2 linked regions of the Drosophila melanogaster genome follow. The protein of the gene in region 1 interacts with the protein of each later gene in a pairwise test. Each region holds a gene or a part of one and is shown on either strand. Other genes may lie near its edges.

Region 1 (5,701 bases):
GTATATAAATTTGCAATTGTATGACGATGGACACGCACAAACCTAGTGAGAATTAATCTAGTGCATTAAAGCAATTTTTACAATAATAAGAGTCAATGACCTCAGCGAATAGTCAAGTATACAATAGGCACCATCTTCAGAATAAATGTTCTTCGACTTATTCTGAATGTCGTTCAGTGCCCGATTAATTTTACGGATGTAAGCACATGGGCACGAGTTAATATTGCTTAAAACTTGAGGCCAAAGATTAAAAGTATGATTCAAAGCAGTTCATTGCGTTTAATCTAAATTTATTACAGGACTATTTTTGCCTACCTCAATAATAAATGTTTTAAATTATCCGGTTTCAATGCCGTCAACAATACTAGACCACCAAAAACAGTTGCTTGGATGCACTGACTATAAAATTGTTTTTACTCCTATTTCTTTAATTGTTTATCTATGTAACCTGCTTAAAGAACAGAAACTGGAAACCCACTTCTGAGAATATTTGGAACCATTACATTCTGGCATCTATTGCACAAATTATTAGTGCTTATATTGGTCAATTCGATTTAATTTCCAGGTTTCCAAAGGCAGCCTCCAAGGGTACAATCGTTTGTTTAGTCAAAAGTTGTTCGAGGGCCCATTGACTCAACTTTTGCAGCTCCTTCCGTTTGGAGCTCACAGCACGAGAGTTGTCCAAATGGTTGCAGCACAAGTAAATGCCATAAAGGGCCCTCAAGTTATGCGGATTAAGCTTCAGGGCCTGCGAATAGTAAGTGCGAGCCGATTCCATATTCTCGACGCCACCCTGAAAGAAAATTAATTCATAAGATGGACTTCATTACTGGTTAGTGGGCTTATATAGCTCACCATTGTGTATCGTATTTCTGCCAAACGCTGGTGTATTAGATGGCTATGCGGATTGTGCAGCAAAACCTCCTCCATGCAGAAGGCAGCTTTGCCAAACTCGCCTTCAGCCAGATACATGTTGCACAGCTCATGCCATGCCTCCTGGTCAGACATAAACCTGAAGGAATATTAAATAGTTATGAGATTATCGTACATGGTAAGATAAGTAGTTGTCTAGCAACCGGATGCCGGAAACTAATTTGGTTCCGTTCTTCCAAAAACACCATGAACTTAGCTTTCTTACTTCTTCAGATACTCGTTGAGCTCCTTGATGGCCTCCAGGCGACGACCACGGGCCTTAAGGATGGCAATCTTGCGCTTCCTGGGCGCGGCATTTGTCTCGTCCTTAGCAATGATTGCATCCAGGACCTCGTCGGCCTCATCGTACTGCTCCAGGGCCTCGTAGCGCATCGCTTTGAACTTCATCACGCGCAGGCTGCCCGGGAACTCGAGGGACAGCTGCTTGGTACACTTGGTGGCGATGTCAAAGCGAGCCGTATCCAATGCCGCGATGATCACCTGCTCCAGGATGAGATGCCGCTCGTTGCCGGTCTTGTGCACCTTGTCCTCTAGCACAGCAACCCACAGCTGGACCACCTCCTCGCTGTGGCGACCCGTCTCCTCGCGCCACGTTCTGAACTGATCCCGTACATCTGAAAGGATGATCATACGCTTATGATACGGCACTTTTCATTCATGGCAATTGGGAGCAACCCACTGACGTGGTCTGCACCTGTCTGGAGCCGGGAAAAGCCGAAAACTTACCCGACCAGCTCATCTTCTCATAATCTAGCGACATATTCACTTAGGCGGACTTAAATATCTCATCAATTTAATTTAATTTCCCAATTGTAATCATTAACTAGCGATTTCCTTCTTGGCAAAATAAAAGTGTGGCAGCGTAATGAGCCGTTAGATTATACCAAATAACACTAGCGTGGCGCTGCCAACCTGCTTTTTGAATATCGTAAAGTCTAGAAATGAAGTCAGAGGTAATTTTTTAAAACTTTTTATTATAAAGAGACTTCTAAAGTTAAGTTTTTCTACATATACCTTGTTTCCGATATTTGCAAAGTTAATTAAACTGTTAATACTTCTGAAATACTTGTAGGTCCTTGAAAAGGATTCTTTAATGAATTATTTTACCATGCATTAATCTTATTTTGTCCAAACTTTGTGCATTGCTTATCCATTTTAACAGATTTCTAAGTCAAGTGCACATTTGAAAAGCGCGCCAACGAAAACATGAAACATGATAGTTTTTCTTCCAGCGACGGTCACACTAACAAATCAAATAATTGTGGTACCGTCAACAAAAGCCAAGTCTCTCGTGCTCTCCGGGTATTAAAGCCGTGGAATCGGGCAGTGCCGCATGCGGTGCTGTGTTTAATTTCCCCAACTCCCAACAGATCCGGAAGCAGTTTGAACATGGGTCCGCCAAAGCAGCTGAAACGAACCTTTCTTGGCTTCGACTTGAGCACGCAAAAGGTGAGAACTGGAACTGCCTACGTAGTATCTTTGCATCTGAGATGTGGAGGCGTCTCCAAATCGACTACATCTGGGCCAATTGCGTGCGAATGGTGTTACTGGAAAAGGTCAAACGGTACTCGGGAACTTGAAACACGAACTACTCTTATCAGTTGCGGTGACCGGGGCTCGATTTTCGCTTATCTGCTAAAGACGCGAGCGCCAACCGATTTAACTATTATGGTTTGATTATTGAAATTCATGTTCGGAGGTATTGGCCCCCGACATTATCTTAATAGAGCCGCAATAACTTTCACAATCCCTGAATGACGCTGGCGGTGACTCCTAGTTGCCCTCTATGTTTGATCGTTATTTTCGAGGTGTGTCTCCATATCGCTAATTGCTGCCCCATTTACTCCTCTCAGCTCAAAGCCGTCCTGCTGGGCTCCAGTTTGGAGGTGGTTGCCGCGGCTGAAGTGAAATTCGACACCGACTTGCCGGAGTTCCGGACCACCGGTGGAGCCAACGCTGGATCCATCAAAAATGAGTGAGTCTGTTTCACCACTATCCATTACTCCAATTGAAGATTTTAATGGGATGATTGTTTGCGTAAAGCAAATAGGGGGATATATTTTACGTTTTTATATCTTGCGCTGTGGGGTATTTGTCCGATAATACTTAGGGCCCTATTTCATAGCAGTTGTTTTATTACACCACAATGGGTCTCTATCACTTCAAGTTTTTTTTAACCTTCCTATAACAGGGACCATATATACAATGGGTACTATAAAATATATATGTGCTAACCTGACTCCACCTTTACTTGTTCTTCTTTAGATACTTTGTACAACCAGTGATGTGGGTGAAGGCCATGGACATTGTCCTGGACCGACTGGTTATGCAGCAAGCGGATCTTAGCACCGTAGCTGCCATCAGTGGCTCCGGACAGCAGCACGGATCGCTCTACTGGTCCAAACATGGAATCAACACGCTGCAAAACCTCGATTCCGAGAAGTTCCTTCACGCACAAATCGACGACTCCGCCTTTGTGGTAAATCGTACTCCGATTTGGATGGACGCCACCACCACCAAACAGTGCCTAGAGATGGAGATGGCTGTTGGTGGCAAACTTAACATGGTGGAACTGACGGGCTCGAAGTGCTACGAACGTTTTACGGGTCCCCAAATTAGAAAGATATATCAGCAACGCTGCCACGCCTACGAAGAGGCCAACCGAATCTCATTGGTCAGCAGTTTTATATCATCGCTATTTCTGGGCTCCGTCGCTCCAATTGACTTCAGTGATGGTTCCGGCATGAATCTGCTGGACATCCGCAAGAAGAACTGGTCCAAAGAATGCCTAAATGTTTGTGCACCCGATTTGGACAAGCGCCTGGACATTCCGGTCAGTCCAAATTCGATTTTAGGCAACGTCTCTCCGTACTTTGTGGAGCGCTTTAGTTTTTCGCCCGATTGCAAAGTGGCTGCTAGCACGGGGGACAATCCTTCGGCGCTGTCTGGAATGTTGGTGGGCAGCAGCTGGCTTACCATTTCCATGGGCACAAGTGACACCCTAATGATGAGCTTGAAGGAGCCGCTAAACTGGGAGGAGGGTCATATACTCTGCCATCCAACTGAAACGGAAGAATTCATGGGCCTTCTATGGTAAATTATTCCTGGGACATTATATCTTAAAATTAGTTTATTTAAATGTCTTTTTCAGTTTTAGAAATGCTTCATTGGTCCGTGAGGAAATGAACAAGAAGACAACCGGCGGCGATTGGGATAAATTCAATGAGTATCTCGACTCCACGCCCCGTGGAAACTTTGGGAACATGGCCGTGCACTTTAACGACATGGAAATCATTCCCAAGGCGCAGGGTATTCTGCGATGGAACAGGGAAATGGATCCCAGTTCCCCGGACGCGGCTAGGGGTGTAATCAAGTAAGTCTGATTGAAAATTTAGCTGTTTTAGGTCCGACATGAAAGCAATGACTCATAATCAGTTAACAGACATCTGTAAATAGTTATTTTTAGAAATGACTTTTTACCAACATGATCATGTTTTTTGTCGTTTATACTTTTTCTTAATGCCTATTTCCCTTCTACTGAATTCTTTAAAATGTATAAAATATTCCTGACCTCTTTCGCTTTATAGATTCAGCTCGCCCCAAATCGAAATTCGAGCCCTAGTTGAAGGTCAGATGCTGCATCACCGGGCTGTGGCTGAAGACCTTGGCTACAAATTCGGACCCGAGACACAAATCCTTGTCACAGGAGGCGCATCTGTTAACAAATCAATCCTGCAAACAATTGCCGATGTGTTCAATGCTCCCGTCCATATCCAGGTTAGTTCATACCAACTGTTTCTCAAGTGCAAGCAATTTAAGCAACATGTTTCTTGCAGGATGAAGGATTTGAGGCTGCCCTACTGGGAGCCGCTTATCGATCCGCCTACGCTCTGTACCTTCAAGAGGCAGGTGATGGGGTGACGCCTCTCTGTTACCGAGATTATATCCTAAGTCTGACAAGTAACAAACTGAGCCTTGTATGCGAACCACACAAGGACAGCGAGGAAATCTACGCTCCAATGCTACAACGATATCGCGAAATGGCGCGCGTCCTGTCCAATCCTAACACATAAACTCTCCGAAAGCCCAACGTAACATTCCAGTTTATACTCCGTACATTCACAAACTGATTCCTTCTTAAACGTCTCCTGTAATTGACAGAACTTAAGTGCAATTAACAAATTCTGTGATTGACGATTTATTACAAATTTATGCGAAACCATATACAAATAAATTTTTATATATGGCCCACTCCTTATTGTGTCTGGTATGCCTTTAATCTTTGATCCGCCTACTTTTTGCGTCCACCACGCTCCTTGACCTGTAAATGCACCGTGGTTCCGTTTACCAGATTGTAAAAAGCCATGGTATTGCTGTCTTTGAAGAACATTCCCTGAAGGATAGATGTTATTGAAATAATAGTTTTCGAAACATTAGTTGTATTTCTTACCTCATAAAATATCTTCTGCTTGGCCGGTGGCATGCCAGTTTCGTCCTGCAGCTTCGTCTTCAGATTGGCAATGGGTTCAGAAAGTGCCATGGTCACGGCTATCATCTGTCCATTAAGCTTCCACTCTGATTTGTCGGAATTGGGTACCAAAACCTGAATGGTCACAGGGCTCTGAAATAATTTAAGATGGGTTATATACCAATAGATAGCCAGATATCAAAATCAAACTTACCTTGTGGGTGGCAATAAAGTCTGCTTCTGGAATCAGGTTGTCCTCGCTTCGAATCTTTTTAGAAGGCGGCTCCTCCTCCATTATAT
Region 2 (7,027 bases), 3.7 Mb from region 1:
ACAGTTGGCTTCTCTAGCATAATATCTAATTATAAAGTTACAAAAAAATACACTTGAATAAAATTATGCGTACGCCAGTGAGTGCATTTATTCAAAACAAAGCCAGAAAATGAATGACGTCCAGCCCGTTCTCCCCTTTTGGATTGCCGTCTAAAATGATTAAGTTAGTTGAGTTAATTAATCTGGCGGTGTCGATAACCCGAGTTCAATAGTCATTACCCCCTCGGATCCCCCACCGCATCCAAATGCAATCCGTAGTCTATATGCGTAGTACACTCGATCCCCGGGCATATTTATTTTCATCAATTGATTGATTCACGACTCGTTCGTTTACCTCTCGCAAACCTGATGCCGCAATCGAATGTGTGTTTGTGTGCCGCAGCGTCGCATGTTGGCTCAGTGGGTCATGCGTCGACGGGTTGGTCTTGAACCGCAGATCAAGTGAACACAAAAGCCAATTGAAATTAGAATCCATCCGAGCGTTGGCAAATTGCATAACATTTGCAGTGGGGGCTGCAGGCCATTTCCATTTCCATTTCCATTTCCATTTACCCACCTCCCCCTTTCCTTGCGAAAGGCCACATGTTGTTATACACATGTTGCAGATTGCACTGCGGCATTCTGCTGCATATGAGATAGACGAATGGACGACGAGTCGACTAATCTCGGTCATAGTCGCTAATTAAAAGGTTTAAGGCTAAAATTAGCATATGAAGCAATCGCCATTTCCCCCGGCAGCATAAGCACAGATACAGATACAGATACAGATACACCAGCACCCGCAACCGCACACACTCGCACTCATCTTACATAGATACACCTGCGTGCTTGGTGTTCATGAGACTGAAATACATGACGTGAACAAAAGCCATACCTTCTGGATTTCCACACCCCTAGCGATCCGCCGACCAAAATGGGCATACGACTCCATACACATACGTATGCAAAGTAAGGTGGCCGGCGGGCGGAGGGGTGTTGTTTTAGGCACATTAGATGGCATCGCATGCCACCAATTACCCGCATAATCTTGTAATACTAACCCGCCGAACCCTCCGCACTCTGAAGGGCCAATTTGGCTTACGGTTACGCCTCGCAGAGCTTTAATTCCCTTTAAATAGTGGCACACTAGATGACGCCCCGATGGGGATTACATTCCCCAAAAACACGTGTGACTCGAGTAGTTAGTGGCGCCCAATGACGCCATCTCTATTACACTTGAATGGTCAGGCTTAAGTGCCGAGTTATGGGCGCTGTTGACAGCCTTTAAACGCATCTGTATCCGTACCATTTGTAGTATCTACAATATCTGGGGTTCTTTGCCAGTCGAAAGCTTAGTTCCGATCCACCGCGTCCACTTGAGTACGTTACCCGTGGCCAGCTGTCCGTCGGCGGACTGGTCAATTATTTTGTGAAATTAAATTAAATTGATTGAATTTAGACGCTCTTCGGGCAGAGGTCAATGCGGAGGTGCTTGGGTGGCAGCTGTGCACACGAAGAAAATATGAGGTGGTTGTTAAATTGACTAATGGAAGCTGTTGACTATCTTTAGTTGATTAGCTCACGTTGAACTATTAGAAAATTTAAAGGTGTATTTTGAAACTCGTACTATTCTTCCACATAGTGATGACAACTTTATTAGCTAATATGTAATATTTACATAGAGATATAAAAATGATTTGATATATTATTTGATATTTGATATTATTAACATCATTTGTGCACTTTTTTTTAAATCTTTTATATCAACGAAAACATGTTTAGTTTTATAAATATCTTAGATTTCAAATATCGATATGAAAGTTCAACTTGCTTTATTTTCTGTGTATAAATTGCTATAGATGCGCGTTTGTTATTGCTAGTCCAGTGATAATGACACAAATATTTGAACGATCTGCTTTGTAGTCGTTCCTGTTGATTAACTGAGATATAAAGGCGAATTAATGAAGCGATTGAGGTTAAGGGGTCAAATCATTGCAGTTATCTGTTGCGGAAATCCGGATATTTCCTGTCCTTAGATCGGCATAAGTAGTTTTTGAAATCAAGATCACCCCCAGCAGCATCCCCCGATTCTCCTCCTCCGGCTGGAGATCCATTGATTGCATGTTGCCAGTTGATAGTCGCTGCTGCGCCGACTGATGTTGCTGCTGCTGCTGCGACGGCTGCTGCTGCTGATGTCGCTGGTTGCTGGTGGCTGCTGTCGCCGCTCAATTGTTTGTCGCGCGCCGTGATTGCGCATCTCCGCGCGGCGCTTTCAGTTGGCGATGCGAGCGCGACTCGGCCGCAGTAGTCTTCGGTCTCCAGCTTCCAGCTTCTAGCCTGCGGCATCCGATCTGCAGCTCGGCATTCTCGGCTTGGGTTACGTCCAGTGCGGCTCGGCAAACTGCGTTTCGCGAAAAATTGCGTTTAATTAAAGTATACAGGCCAGCGAGCTCCTCAATTACGGCTGCTCGTGGGATGAGTCGCCACAGCCAACTGAAGCTAGCGATGCCCTCGGTTCACGGAGCTCCAGCCACCGCTCCTGGCTCGCCGATGAACGCCAAAGCCCGGAGCGTGAAGCTCGGACTGGGTGTTAATCAGCGGACAGGTCGTGTGCAGTGGTGTCCCGGTCTGACCTGCTGCAAAATGCTTCTACTTCTTCCAGTGGTAATGCTGCCACTGACCCTGGTGCTCATCCTGATCATGCGGCTGGACGGGATGCTGGCGGCGCTGCAATTGAACGAACAGAGGATGAGGGATCTGCGGAACTCTCACAGCGAGGTGCCTGTCTATATGGAGGATTACGAAGCCCTTTTACCGGAGGGTAGTACCTACAACGACCTGATCAACGAGGAGTTCATACTGCCGGCGAGCAAGCGGACCCAACTGCAGATTTTGGCCGCGGAGAGGGCGCGTCGCTGCCAACCATATCGCTACGGGAACGGGGAGTCCATGGAGTTGGAGGAGCGCAACACGCTGATGAAGGACTCCCGAACCTCCTTCCTGCCACTGGGCATTCCGCGAGAGTGCCTCGGCAGCGGCATTGAACTGGACATTAAACCCATAGATGAGGAGGCCTACCAGAGGCAGAAGAAGCGCTACCAGGACATAGCTCCGTATTGGCTGGAGAAGATCAGAATACGGGAGCGCCGCGAGGCCGAACGTCATGCAGAGGAGGCCAGTGCCGAGATCAGCGAGGCCACCGCCGCTCTGCAGAGTTTCTGGAACGAGGAAGGCACTCGGGAGGGCATTCGCATGACCCAGGCCAAAACCATGAAGCGCTACATGGATAACAAAGTGGATCCCTGCGTGGATTTCTACAAGTACGCCTGCGGCAACTGGGAGCGCCTGCATCCAATACCCAAGGATAAGGCCGGCTTCGATACCTTCGAAATGCTGCGTGAGAGTCTGGACCTGGTGCTACGAAATCTTCTGGAGAAAAATACCCCTGTGCACTCCGCAGCGGAGCTACGAAAAAGTCCCGTGCGGAATACTCTATTTAAGCTTAATGAGCAGGGCGAGGGTGAGGGCGAAGCTGACCAGGCGGCGGAACTTACGGCGGAACGCCTGCGTCGGCACATTGTCAGTAAGAGGCAGTTGCTTAACCGCGTTCTGGTGCGCTACAAGCGGTATACCAACGGAACGAAAAGGAAACGCCTCATCGAAACCCCACGGGAGAGAACCAAAGAGGAGGAAGCTGCTCCACCAGTTGTCCTGCCAAAGGATAAAACCAAGGACAAGTCGGATAACGAAGAGCAACTACATGTGCCCACCGATTTCCTAAAGCCCCATCAAGATGCCCAGCTAAAAGCAAAGAATCTGTACCGGTCCTGCGTGAACAGCGCGGTGCTGGCCAAGCGGGGATTGGAACCGCTGCACACGCTCATTCGGGAACTAGGTGGCTGGCCAGTCCTGGAGTCCCAATGGAGTGAGTCCAACTTTAACTGGCAGGTGCTAGCCGCCACCCTTAGACGTTACAACAACGACATCCTCATCGTCCAGTGGGTGGGGGCGGACATCAAGAACTCCGAGGAGAACATTGTTCAGTTTGACCAGACGGGTCTGGGCCTGCCCACCAGGGAGTACTTCCTCCAGCCGAGCAACGCCAAGTACCTACAGGCCTACCAGCGCTACATGGCCGAGGTGATGCACAAAATGGGCGCCTCCAAGGCGGATGCCCAGCGGGTGGCCAGCGAGCTGGTGGCGTTCGAAACGCAGCTGGCGGGGATTACAGCTCCAGCGGAGCAACGACTTAACGTCACCAAGGTGAGTGGCTTCTAAGACTTTTAAATTATTCTTACTAGTACTTAATATATTTTGCTTCGAAACATATTTCTATAGAATATCTAAAACGTTTTAATACGTCTTCATATTTCACGCAGCTCTACAAGCGCATGACGCTGGACCAACTGCAGGCGGTGGTTCCGGAAATCAAGTGGCGAGCTTACCTGCAGAGTCTGCAAGATCGCGAAGTTCTGGGCACCGAGGAAGTGGTCATCTACGCGGTGGAGTACATGAGCAAGCTGGTGACTCTTCTAGATGAAACGGATCCCCGAACGGTTTCCAATTACATGATGTGGCGCTTTGTGCGGCACAGGATCAACAACGTGGACGATCGATTCGATGACATCAAACAGAGTTTCTACCACGCCCTCTTTGGCCGCGAGGAGAGTCCGCAGAGATGGAAGGTATGCATCGCCCAGGTGAACACCAACATGGGCATGGCAGTGGGTTCCATGTTCGTGAGTCGCTATTTCGACAACAACAGCAAGCGGGACACCTTGCGGATGACTCACGATCTGCAGCAGGCCTTTCGGGATATCCTGAAAACCACTGATTGGCTGGACGACACCACAAAGCAGTTGGCCGAGGAAAAGGTTAACGCCATGTCCCTGAAGATCGGCTATCCAGACTTTATCCTTAATCCCAGTGAGTTAAATAGCAAGTACGCGGGCATAGAAATCTATCCGGAAAAGTATTTTGAGAACACTCTGAATGTTCTGCTTCACACGGCCAAAACGGAGCAGGCCAAGCTCCACGAGAGGGTCAACAAGACCAACTGGCAGACAGCTCCTGCCATCGTCAATGCCTATTATAGCCGCAACAAGAACCAGATCATGTTTCCCGCCGGCATCCTGCAGCCGCCCTTCTACCACCGCCACTTTCCGAAGTCGCTGAACTTCGGCGGCATCGGTGTGGTCATTGGCCACGAACTGACCCACGGTTTCGATGACAAGGGTAGGCTCTTCGATCGCAACGGCAATATACATAAGTGGTGGACGGACTCCTCGATTCGCGGGTTCGACGAGCGCGCCCGCTGCATTATTGCCCAATATAGCAACTATACCGTCGAGGAGGTGGGAATCGTCCTGAATGGAGAGAGTACGCAGGGTAAGTCGATTTGATTCAAATATGGTGCTGTTGACCAAACGAATATGGTCCAAAAATATGATCGATTGATTGTAGAGTTAATCACAATCATTGTGAATGGTTTAGTCATTCCAAGTCACAATCATATATTGTGTATTAATAATTTCTAACGATTTATCTCAGGTGAGAATATCGCAGACAATGGAGGCCTCCGGCAGGCCTTCCACGCGTATCAGCGCTGGCTAAAGGAGCATCCCAGCGAGGTGTCGGACGAGATCCTGCCAGGACTTAACATGACAGGGCCGCAGCTGTTCTTCCTGAACTTCGGTCAGGTTTGGTGCGGAGCGATGCGACCGGAGGCCATCCGGAACAAGCTGAACACGGCCATCCACAGTCCAGGTCGTTTCCGGGTGATTGGGACGCTCTCGAACTCCGTTGACTTTGCGCGGGAGTTCAATTGTCCCCTCGGCTCACCGATGAACCCTCAGAAAAAGTGCAGCGTTTGGTAGTCGGAGGGAACCAAATCAATAGCCTAAGAGTATTAAGCATGACATATGCCACACATTCCTAGACCAAAGACCGAAGGCATGTCATTTGGTGAGTACCCGGGTGGTAGTGGAACCTCCATGTCGGGGCTCTAATTGCGCTCCACTTTGGGCGCCACTTAACGGAGAAAGTGGTAGTGTCTGGCGGCGCAGCTTCCTTGTGGCTCGTTACCCATTTGCCCCTAACTGTTGTGCCAACAACGGCATCACACTTCAATTGGGGCGCATGCACTTAATTAATGGTGATTTATGCCCAGCAGTTGGCTCAGTTTCTTGCCGGGGAACAACTTCTCCGATTGTCTTTCCAATCAAACTACAATTGATGGAAGTCACTTGGAATGCCAATGGGGTTGGAGTACCACTACTCTATATATACAGCTATTAATACGCTCCGCTAAGATTTTCCCCTCCATTACAGGGATCACAACGGACGGAACACCCATCTGGTCATTGCCGAAGATTCGCCTTGGGTTTATGGCTCCCCCATCACAACAAAGATTATGTGCCAAAAATTAACTTGCAATCTATATATTTTTCTTAGCCCTTAACTATTTATACTTGTAACTTGCAATAGTTTAGTTTATGATGCAATTTATGTTTGTGATAATTCTAATTAAATGTATTTATATTATCAACAAATGGTGACTTTTAATTTAATGGTGATTGTTCAACACTGGAAGCTTTCAAGTTCAAAAAGAATATTTTGGAAAACTTTTGAGTGGAATTTTTAAAGCAATTATGAGTGGCCATTCAGTTGGAAACGTGCGCTCGGCGACTAAGGAACATCAAAGACATCGCGCTAGTGGGTGATCCAAAAATATACGTATATATTTAGATATACCCATTGTTAGATACTCGAATACCAGAGGACGGAAATGAAAAACTCCCAAACCAAACTTCAATAATTGAAGGCGATGCATTTCTGTTGGATATCTCTGATTATTCTCAGCCTGAGCAGAGTGCAGGCACAGTTTTATGGGGGTAATGCATACGAAGCATCTAGTGGTCAATCCATTCGCCTGGGTGAGTGAAACATATGAAAGAGCTTAAGCAGATTGTTCTCCCGATTTTCGTTTTGACTCAAAAAAAATTCATATATATATAGGCCTCATCACCGACGACGCCACCGATAGAAT

Evidence for each region.
Region 2: the proteins of CG3534 (region 1) and Nep4 interact in a two-hybrid assay, tested with the Drosophila melanogaster proteins (one study listed by BioGRID).

Annotation. Positions count from the first base shown.
Region 1 is NT_033777.3:16,994,267-16,999,967, forward strand, and holds CG3534 (uncharacterized protein), read left to right. Parts: upstream 1-2,179; 5' UTR 2,180-2,322; coding exon 2,323-2,382; intron 2,383-2,786; coding exon 2,787-2,908; intron 2,909-3,198; coding exon 3,199-4,026; intron 4,027-4,084; coding exon 4,085-4,306; intron 4,307-4,520; coding exon 4,521-4,710; intron 4,711-4,769; coding exon 4,770-5,006; 3' UTR 5,007-5,183; downstream 5,184-5,701. Other genes in the region: EMC2A (ER membrane protein complex subunit 2A), read right to left, coding at 545-793, 856-1,012, 1,139-1,547, 1,660-1,693; Sf3a1 (splicing factor 3a subunit 1), read right to left, coding at 5,225-5,326, 5,384-5,554, 5,616-5,701.
Region 2 is NT_033777.3:20,652,067-20,659,093, reverse strand, and holds Nep4 (neprilysin 4), read left to right. Parts: upstream 1-2,251; 5' UTR 2,252-2,454; coding exon 2,455-4,242; intron 4,243-4,358; coding exon 4,359-5,367; intron 5,368-5,529; coding exon 5,530-5,855; 3' UTR 5,856-5,943; intron 5,944-6,309; 3' UTR 6,310-6,527; downstream 6,528-7,027. Other genes in the region: GluRIID (glutamate receptor IID), read left to right, coding at 6,806-6,914, 6,997-7,027. UniProt on the Drosophila melanogaster protein: Metalloendoprotease which cleaves peptides at the amino side of hydrophobic residues - such as the hormones Akh and Dh31, and the neuropeptides Allatostatins (AST1, AST2, AST3 and AST4), Crz, Drosulfakinins (DSK-I and DSK-II), Lk, sNPF and the tachykinin peptides TK-1, TK-2, TK-4 and TK-5.